Linked DNA regions of Ovis aries. The protein of the gene in region 2 interacts with the protein of the main gene of each other region in a pairwise test. Links are inferred from orthologs where the notes say so. Each region holds a gene or a part of one and is shown on either strand. Other genes may lie near its edges. The genes, in order: RSPH1 and MORN3.

Region 1 (4,365 bases), on a different chromosome or scaffold from region 2:
ATACTAATAAAAACTCACTACTTTAAATTTTGCATATTGTCACGCTCAGACCTTTAAACTAGATAGACAGATGGATAGATAGATAATAGACAGATGATACAGAGAGGTGAAGTCCTTTCCTCTTTCTCCAACCCTGCCCCCCTCTTCCTCCCCGGGGGCATCCTTATCATGAATTTGGAGCATTTTCTGGAAGTGGTTCCTTAGCCAGTCTTTGAAGAATGGCTCTGGCTATAGGCAAGGCCATCAGAAGGAAGACTTCCAGGGGAAGCATCTGGCACAGGCAAAGGCACAGAGGAGGGGACGTGAAGGATGTACTGGGGACAGTGCTCACGGTTTGCTTTATTTATTTATTTATTATTTTTTTTTTTCACGGTTTGCTTTATCTGAATCATGTAACAAGTATAGGAAGGTGTTGATGGACCAGAAGGCTGAGAGGATGACTTGGGATTTGAATATGGAGATAGTGAATACAGCGGTCTGCATGCAGTCTGGTCTGCATGTGGGTTTCCGAGTAGAGGAGGAGGGTGAAGTGGTTAAGAGTGCCTAAGTCTGGAGACAAACAGGCTGAACCAGAGCCTATTGCCAGAGTTAACAAGGGGAGGAAGAAGGCCTGGATCAGGGTGGTGACAAGAGGAACTGGGAAGGAGATCATGAGGGGTCTTGGGCAGACCGAGTGTCAGATAACTGGAGGGAAGCTTAAGAGAGGCCCATTTAAGAGTGGGAATGAGTGTGAATGTGCGTGCGTGTGTGTGAGGGAGCAAGCTCCACTGGGAACTCCCAGGAGACTGGTCTCACATCTGGGATGGAGGAGGGCTGTCAAACCTGACTGGCATCAGGGTAGACTTGTATCTGCTAATGAGTTGGAGCTGACTCCTTGAGTCAGGAGAAGATGCTTACAAACACAAGAAAAGATAGCAAAGAATGCATCTCTGTGGACCGCCAACATGGAAGGGTCGGAAGAGCCCAGAAAGGTAATGAGGGGCAGGCAGGGCCTATGGAGAGACCCAAGGAACCAAGGGCCAGGGCTGAGAAGAGTCAGTGTCCACCTCTAGGAGGGGCAAGGCCCTTTCCAGAGCTGGCCTTATGAGCTTCCTCCACCCCTTCTAGTTTCAGCATCACCCAGCCGCTGGTTAAAGGGGGTGTCCTGGTAAGAGAGCAGGTGGGTACCCATTACGCCTCAGGCCCCGCCCCCCCTCCTCCTTGGGTGACGATTGGCCGAGGCTCTCCTTACGTTGTTATGACAGCACCTGAAGGCAGGCATTGGCTCCTTCCCAAGCTGTCCGGTCCCAGGCCCCACCCCTCTCTCTTCCGGGAAGGCAACCGGCGGTTGGCGGTTGCGTCCCATTGCTATGACAGCACCCGAACCTTAACGGTTACTCCTCCCCTGCCTCCCAGCTTCTCGGCCAGGGCTGGGAGGGAGAGAGCCTGGCCGTGTCTCCATGGCGACGACGGACGCGGTGGTGCAGGCAGCTGGTACCTACCGACTAGAAAGGCGCAGGCGGCAGCGGGCATCCAGACTGGGGCGAAGCCATGTCGGACCTGGGCTCGGAGGAGTTGGAAGAGGAGGGAGAGAATGATCTTGGGGTGAGAGTTCCGGGTAAGGGAGGAGCTCCCAGGGTTGCGTGGACCCTTGGAAACAGGGTTCAGAGAGTGGGGCGGCCTGGAGGCCCGCCACAGTCCCTCCGGGAGGCCCAGCCAAGGACAAGGACCATGCTGGCCACAGCGGGCGCTGCGTCCTGTAAGTTGGCTCTGAAAGGTGAAACGTTATGACGTCTGCTTACCACATCCCTTCTCGCTCCCTCCTCCACCATTCCTCCTCCCGTTAAAGGCAAAGATTTCCAAATAGAAGGCTTTGAAAGCGTCCTGCTGTTACCCTCCATGGAGGCAGTTTCCTTGAATGGCTGGTCATCCCAAGCTGGACTCTTCCGACCCTTCCACTATGCCCTCTTCTCCTTCTGCCCTCAATCTTTCCCATCATCAAGGACTTTTCCAATGCTGTTCACATCAGATGACCAAAATCCTGAAGTTTCAACTTCAGCATCAGTCCTTCCAATGAATATTCAGGATTGATTTCCCTTAAGATTGACTGGTTTGATCTTCTTGTTGTCCAAGGGACTGAGAAAGGTGCCAACCTTGCGGCTCGTTTTGGGTATAATTAGGAGTCTCTGGGGAAGGAAGGGGAGTCTTTTATACATTTTGATTTAGACTAACCCTGAAACAAATTTGTAAGGTTATAAAAGTTTGCCTTATATTCTGAGCATGAATTTCTGAGCCAAACAGTGCTAGGAAAGCACAAAAACTGCAAAAACGTTTTTTTCCTGAAGCCCTTGATTTAATGTATCTGCTGCTGCTGCTGCTGCTAAGTCACTTCAGTTGTGTCTGACTCTGTGTGACCCCATGGATGGCAGCTCCCCCGCCCCTGGGATTCTCCAGGCAAGAGCACTGGAGTGGGTTGCCATTTCCTTCTCCAATGCATGAAAGTGAAAAGTGAAAGTGAAGTCGCTCAGTTGTGTCTGACCCTCCGCGACCCCATGGACTGCAGCCTACCAGGCTCCTCCGTCCATGGGATTTTCCAGGCAAGAGTACTGGAGCGGGATGCCAATGTGTCTGAATTTGTGCTAATGTCTATCCAGATCCAAGTCCAGGTCAGATCATGCTCTGTGCCCTTGCCATTTCATTGTTTATTATTTACATGCTGCTGTTGCTGCTGTCGCTTCAGTCGTGTCCGACTTTGTGTGACCCCATAGACAGCAGCCCACCAGGCTTCTCTGTCCCTGGGATTCTCCAGGCAAGAACACTGGAGTGGGTTGCCATTTCCTTCTCCAATACACCCATGTAATTAGGTGCTTGAGAAACATGTCTTTTATGAAGGATAGAGACAATAGGGAAATGAGACACTAGTATTGTTTTTTATTGATTTACTTTAAAGATGTGTGTGTGTGTGTATGTGTGTGTTACTTGCTCAATTGTGTCCAATTCTTTGCAACCTCATGGACTATAGCTCTCCAGGTTCCTTTGTCCATGGAATTCTCCAGGCAAGAATACTGGAGTGGGTTGCTATTCTCTTCTCCAGAGCATCTTCCCAACTCAGGGGTCGAACCCAGGTCTCCTGCATTGCAGGCAGATTCTTTACCATCTGAGTCACCAGGGAAGCCCACTATAAAGGTAGATATGTAATTATTTTCCTATTGGGTTATGAGTGTTTGAACTTTAAGTCTCTTGAGTTTAAAAATAAGTTAAACTGAATTGAGTTTGGAAACTCAAGCTGACCATTGAGCCTGGTTCATTCCTCAGCTCCCCCTGTTCCTCTCCTGACATCAGAGCTTTCCTCAAGGTCAAAGCTGTCTTCAGGCCATGGACACCCAGGGATGATTTGTATTTTAAATTATGGATTATTGGAGGAAGGTGGGTTCAGGACCTGCTCCACCTGCAAATGCTATTAATACTTCCAACATGTCCTTGTAAAGGACACAACTTGGACTATCTTGCATTTTCCCCCAAGTGGTTGGTTTTGTTTACAGTGTAAAGGATTATCATAATAAAGTGGAGGGAAAGAGTGAAAGTCCGCCATGAACAGGTACCAGCTGTGTGAGCTTGGACTGATGCTCCGTGTCACCCAGGCCTGGAGCCTACCTCACCTGTAAGACAAGGTCAAGGGTTGGGAGAATTCAGTGGAATGCTGTTGAATTTATGAAATGCTTAGCACATGGTTAATGCTTAATAAAGAGTAGCTGTGATTATCTTCTGTCCAGGAGTATGAAGGGGAACGGAATGAGGCAGGTGAACGGCACGGACACGGAAAAGCGAGACTGCCCAATGGGGACGTATATGAAGGGAGCTATGAGCATGGTAAAAGACATGGCCAGGTCAGAATCGGTGACTTGAATGGGTGGTTTTCCCGATTTAATGCTCTATTAGCAATCATTAAATTCAGGAGTGATATAAATTATATCATCACTGTGTTTCAGGGGATCTACAAATTTAAAAATGGTGCTCGGTACGTCGGAGAATATGTTAGAAACAAAAAGCACGGCCAAGGCACGTTCATCTACCCAGATGGATCGAGATATGAAGGTGAAGTGTTACCACGAAGCAAACCTTCTTGCTGGGGGGGTAGGGAAGCTGTGGGGTGAGGGTAGACCCGGGGTAGTAGGGTGGACCCAGACTGTTGGTGCTTGGTGGTTTTCTTCTCCTTGGAGTTGTTTTTTTAGATGATGATTCTTTCCCTGAGGGCTTCTGCTCTGGGAGGTGTTCTTACTCTGCCGTAGCTGTAACCTCTGTGTTACATGGCAGAGTTACGTCTCAGGAAGATTCTTGCCCCCTAACATGAACCTCACTGTTGCTCCCCCCACCACTGTCACCTGC
Region 2 (3,811 bases):
TCCCTACTTTCTTCAATTTAAGTCTGAATTTTGCATTAAGGAGTTCATGATCTGAGCCACAGTCAGCTCCCAGTACAGAACTGTAGTGTGGATATAATGAGCTGTAAAGAGCAATATTGCATAGGAACCTGGAATGTCAGGTCCACGAATCAAGGCAAATTGGAAGTGGTCAAACAGGAGATGGCAAGAGTGAACGTCAACATTCTAGGAATCAGCAAACTAAAATGGACTGGAATGGGTGAATTTAACTCAGATGACCATTATATCTACTACTGCGGGCAGGAATCCCTTAGAAGAAATGGAGTAGCCATCATGGTCAACAAAAGAGTCCGAAATGCAGTACTTGGATGCAATCTCAAAAACGACAGAATGATCTCTGTTCGTTTCCAAGGCAAACCATTCAATATCACAGTAATCCAAGTCTATGCCCCAACCAGTAATGCTGAAGAAGCTGAAGTTGAATAGTTCTATGAAGACCTACAAGACCTTTTAGAACTAACACCCAAAAAAGATGTCTTTTTCATTATAGGGGACTGGAATGCAAAAGTAGGAAGTCAAGAAACACCTGGAGTAACAGGCAAATTTGGCCTTGGGGTACGGCATGAAGCAGGGCAAAGGCTAATAGAGTTTTGCCAAGAAAATGCACTGGTCATAGCAAACACCCTCTTCCAACAACACAAGAGAAGACTCTACACATGGACATCACCAAATGGTCAACACCGAAATCAGATTGATTATATTCTTTGCAGCCAAAGATGGAGAGGCTCTATACAGTCAACAAAAACAAGACCAGGAGCTGACTGTGGCTCAGATCATGAACTCTTTATTGCCAAATTCAGATTTAAATTGAAGAAAGTAGGGAAAACCACTAGACCATTCAGGTATGACCTAAATCAAATCCCTTATGATTATACAATGGAAGTGAGAAATAGATTTAAGGGACTAGATCTGATAGAGTGCCTGATGAACTATGGACGGAGGTTTGTGACATTGTACAGGAGACAGGGATCAAGACCATCCCCATGGAAAAGAAATGCAAAAAAGCAAAATGGCTGTCTGAGGAGGCCTTACAAATAGCTGTGAGAAGAAGAGAAGTGAAAAGCAAAGGAGAAAGGAAAGACATAAGCATCTGAATGCAGAGTTCCAAAGAATAGCAAGGAGAGAGAAGAAAGCCTTTCTCAGCGATCAATGCAAAGAAATAGAGAAAAACAACAGAATGGGAAGGCCTAGAGATCTCTTCAAGACAATTAGAGATACCAAGGGAATATTTCACGAAAAGATGGGCTCGATAAAGGACAGAAATTGTATGGACTTCACAGAAGCAGAAGATATTAAGAAGAGATGGCAAGAATACATAGAAGAACTGTACAGAAAAGATCTTCATGACCCAGATAATCACGATGGTGTGATCACTCACCTAGAGCCAGATATCCTGGAATGTGAAGTCAAGTGGGCCTTAGAAAGCATCACTACAAACAAAGCTAGTGGAGGTGATGGAATTCCAGTTGAGCTATTTCAAATCCTGAAAGATGATGCTGTGAAAGTGCTGCACTCAATCTGCCAGCAAATTTGGAAAACTCAGCAGTGGCCACAGGACTGGAAAAGGTCAGTTTTCATTCCAATCCCAAAGAAAGGCAATGCCAAAGAATGCTCAAACTACTGCACAATTGCACTCATCTCACACGCTAGTAAAGTAATAGTAAAAATTCTCCAAGCCAGGCTTCAGCAATACGTGAACTGTGAACTTCCAGATGTTCAAGCTGGTTTTAGAAAAGGCAGAGGAACCACAGATCAAATTGCCAACATCCTCTGGATCATGGAAAAAGCAAGAGAGTTCCAGAAAAACATCTATTTCTGCTTTATTGACAAAGCCAAAGCCTTTGACTGTGTGGATCACAATAAACTGCGGAAAATTCTGAGAGAGATGGGAATACCAGACCCCCTGACCTGCCTCTTGAGAAACCTATATGCAGGTCAGGAAGCAACAGTTAGAACTGGACATGGAACAACAGACTGGTTCCAAATAGGAAAAGGAGTACGTCAAGGCTGTATATTGTCACCCTGCTTATTTAACTTATATGCAGAGTACATCATGAGAAACGCTGGACTGGAAGAAATACAAGCTGGAATCAAGATTGCTGGGAGAAATATCAATAACCTCAGATATGCAGATGAGACCACCCTTAGGGCAGAAAGTGAAGAGGAGCTAAAAGCTTCTTGATGAAAGTGAAAGAGGAGAGTGAAAACAATGGCTTAAAGCTCAACATTCAGAAAATGAAGATCATGGCATCTGGTCCCATCACTTCATGGGAAATAGATGGGGAAACAGTGGAAACAGTGTCAGACTTTATTTTTTGGGGCTCCAAAATCACTGCAGATGGTGACTGCAGCCATGAAATTAAAAGACGCTTACTCCTTGGAAGAAAAATTATGACCAACCTAGATAGCATATTGAAAAGCAGAGACATTACTTTGCCAACAAAGGTCCGTCTAGTCAAGGCTATAGTTTTTCCAGTGGTCATGTATGGATGTGAGAGTTGGACTGTGAAGAAAGCTAAGCGCCGAAGAATTGATGCATTTGAACTGTGGTGTTGGAGAAGACTCTTGAGAGTCCCTTGGACTGCAAGGAGATCCAACGAGTCCATTCTGAAGGAGATCAACCTTGGGATTTCTTTGGAGGGAATGATGCTGAAGCTGAAACTCCAGTACTTTGGAAACCTCATGCGAAGAGTTGACTCATTGGAAAAGACTCTGATGCTGGGAGGGATTGGGGGCAGGAGGAGAAGGGGACGACAGAGGATGAGATGGCTGGATGGCATCACTGCCTCGATGGACGTGAGTCTGAGTGAACTCCGGGAGATGGTGATGGACAGGGAGTCCTGGCGTGCCGCGCGATTCACAGGGTCGCAAAGAGTCGGACCTGACTGAGCGACTGAACTAACTATAATGAGCTCAGGGCTGCCTAAGTGTGGGCTATGATTACTATGGACCAAAAGACAAAGTCTTAATTGTTTATATTTATTGCTAGGCACCCTTTTTAGAGTATAAACTCCCCGAGGGCAGGGACCAGGTCTTGTCTCCTGTCATTCACCTTAACCCCCCATTCCGAGCAGGGCTATGCGGGGGCGTGGCCCGATGGGCGTGGCCAGGGCTCTGCCTTGCAGGGCCCGGGAGAACTGTGCCTTGACGGGGTGGCCGAGTGGGCGTGGCCAGCAGGCCTTTGGGACGGGGCTGGACACTCACTCAGGCGCAACATGCCCTCCCCTTCTGGCTTGTCGTTATGCCACTGGCCCTCGTAGATGTCTCCGTTGCTGTAGTACATGCGGCCCCACCCGCTGCGCTGGTTGCCACACCAGTCACCCTCATAATACTCCTTGGGTCCGAAAAACTGGATCCCATAGCCCTGAAAGCACGAAGGTGTCCTTGTTCATGGCGCCCCACAGCACTGGGAACTCCCAGCATCCTCCCTGGTACCCAAAACACCTGGGCTTCTTCCCTCCTTCCTCCCCAAGCCCTACATCCAAGCGGATGGTCCTGTTTTGTAAAATCACCCAGGCCTTCCATTTCCCGCTACCCTTGTGCTACCGCCTTCCTTCAGCCCACCATCATTTCGCCCCTTCTCACTGATTTTCCTCCTCCACTCTCCGGTTCTCCCCCTCATCCCATGCATCTGCCATATGACTGCTGGGAGGATCTTTTACATGGCCTGTCTGATCACGTTTGTTCTGTCTTCCCAACTCTGATTTGACCCTATTAAAAGTTGCAGATGCCTGGCAATGAGATCAAAGCTATGGCGTTTCTCCCCAGAAAA

Evidence for each region.
Region 1: the proteins of MORN3 (region 2) and RSPH1 interact in binary tests that used the Homo sapiens proteins (3 or more experiments, as listed by UniProt). The two-hybrid records come from large-scale screens. The link is inferred for Ovis aries from reciprocal best matches to the Homo sapiens genes MORN3 and RSPH1.

What each region holds. Positions count from the first base shown.
Region 1 is NC_056054.1:263,452,679-263,457,043, reverse strand, and holds the start of RSPH1 (radial spoke head 1 homolog), read left to right. Parts: upstream 1-1,444; 5' UTR 1,445-1,530; coding exon 1,531-1,584; exon of another isoform or gene 1,585-1,758; intron 1,759-3,752; coding exon 3,753-3,866; intron 3,867-3,968; coding exon 3,969-4,074; intron 4,075-4,365.
Region 2 is NC_056070.1:53,626,292-53,630,102, reverse strand, and holds part of MORN3 (MORN repeat-containing protein 3), read right to left. Parts: intron 3,404-3,811; coding exon 3,244-3,403; intron 1-3,243. UniProt on the Homo sapiens protein: Assembles a suppression complex (suppresome) by tethering SIRT1 and MDM2 to regulate composite modifications of p53/TP53.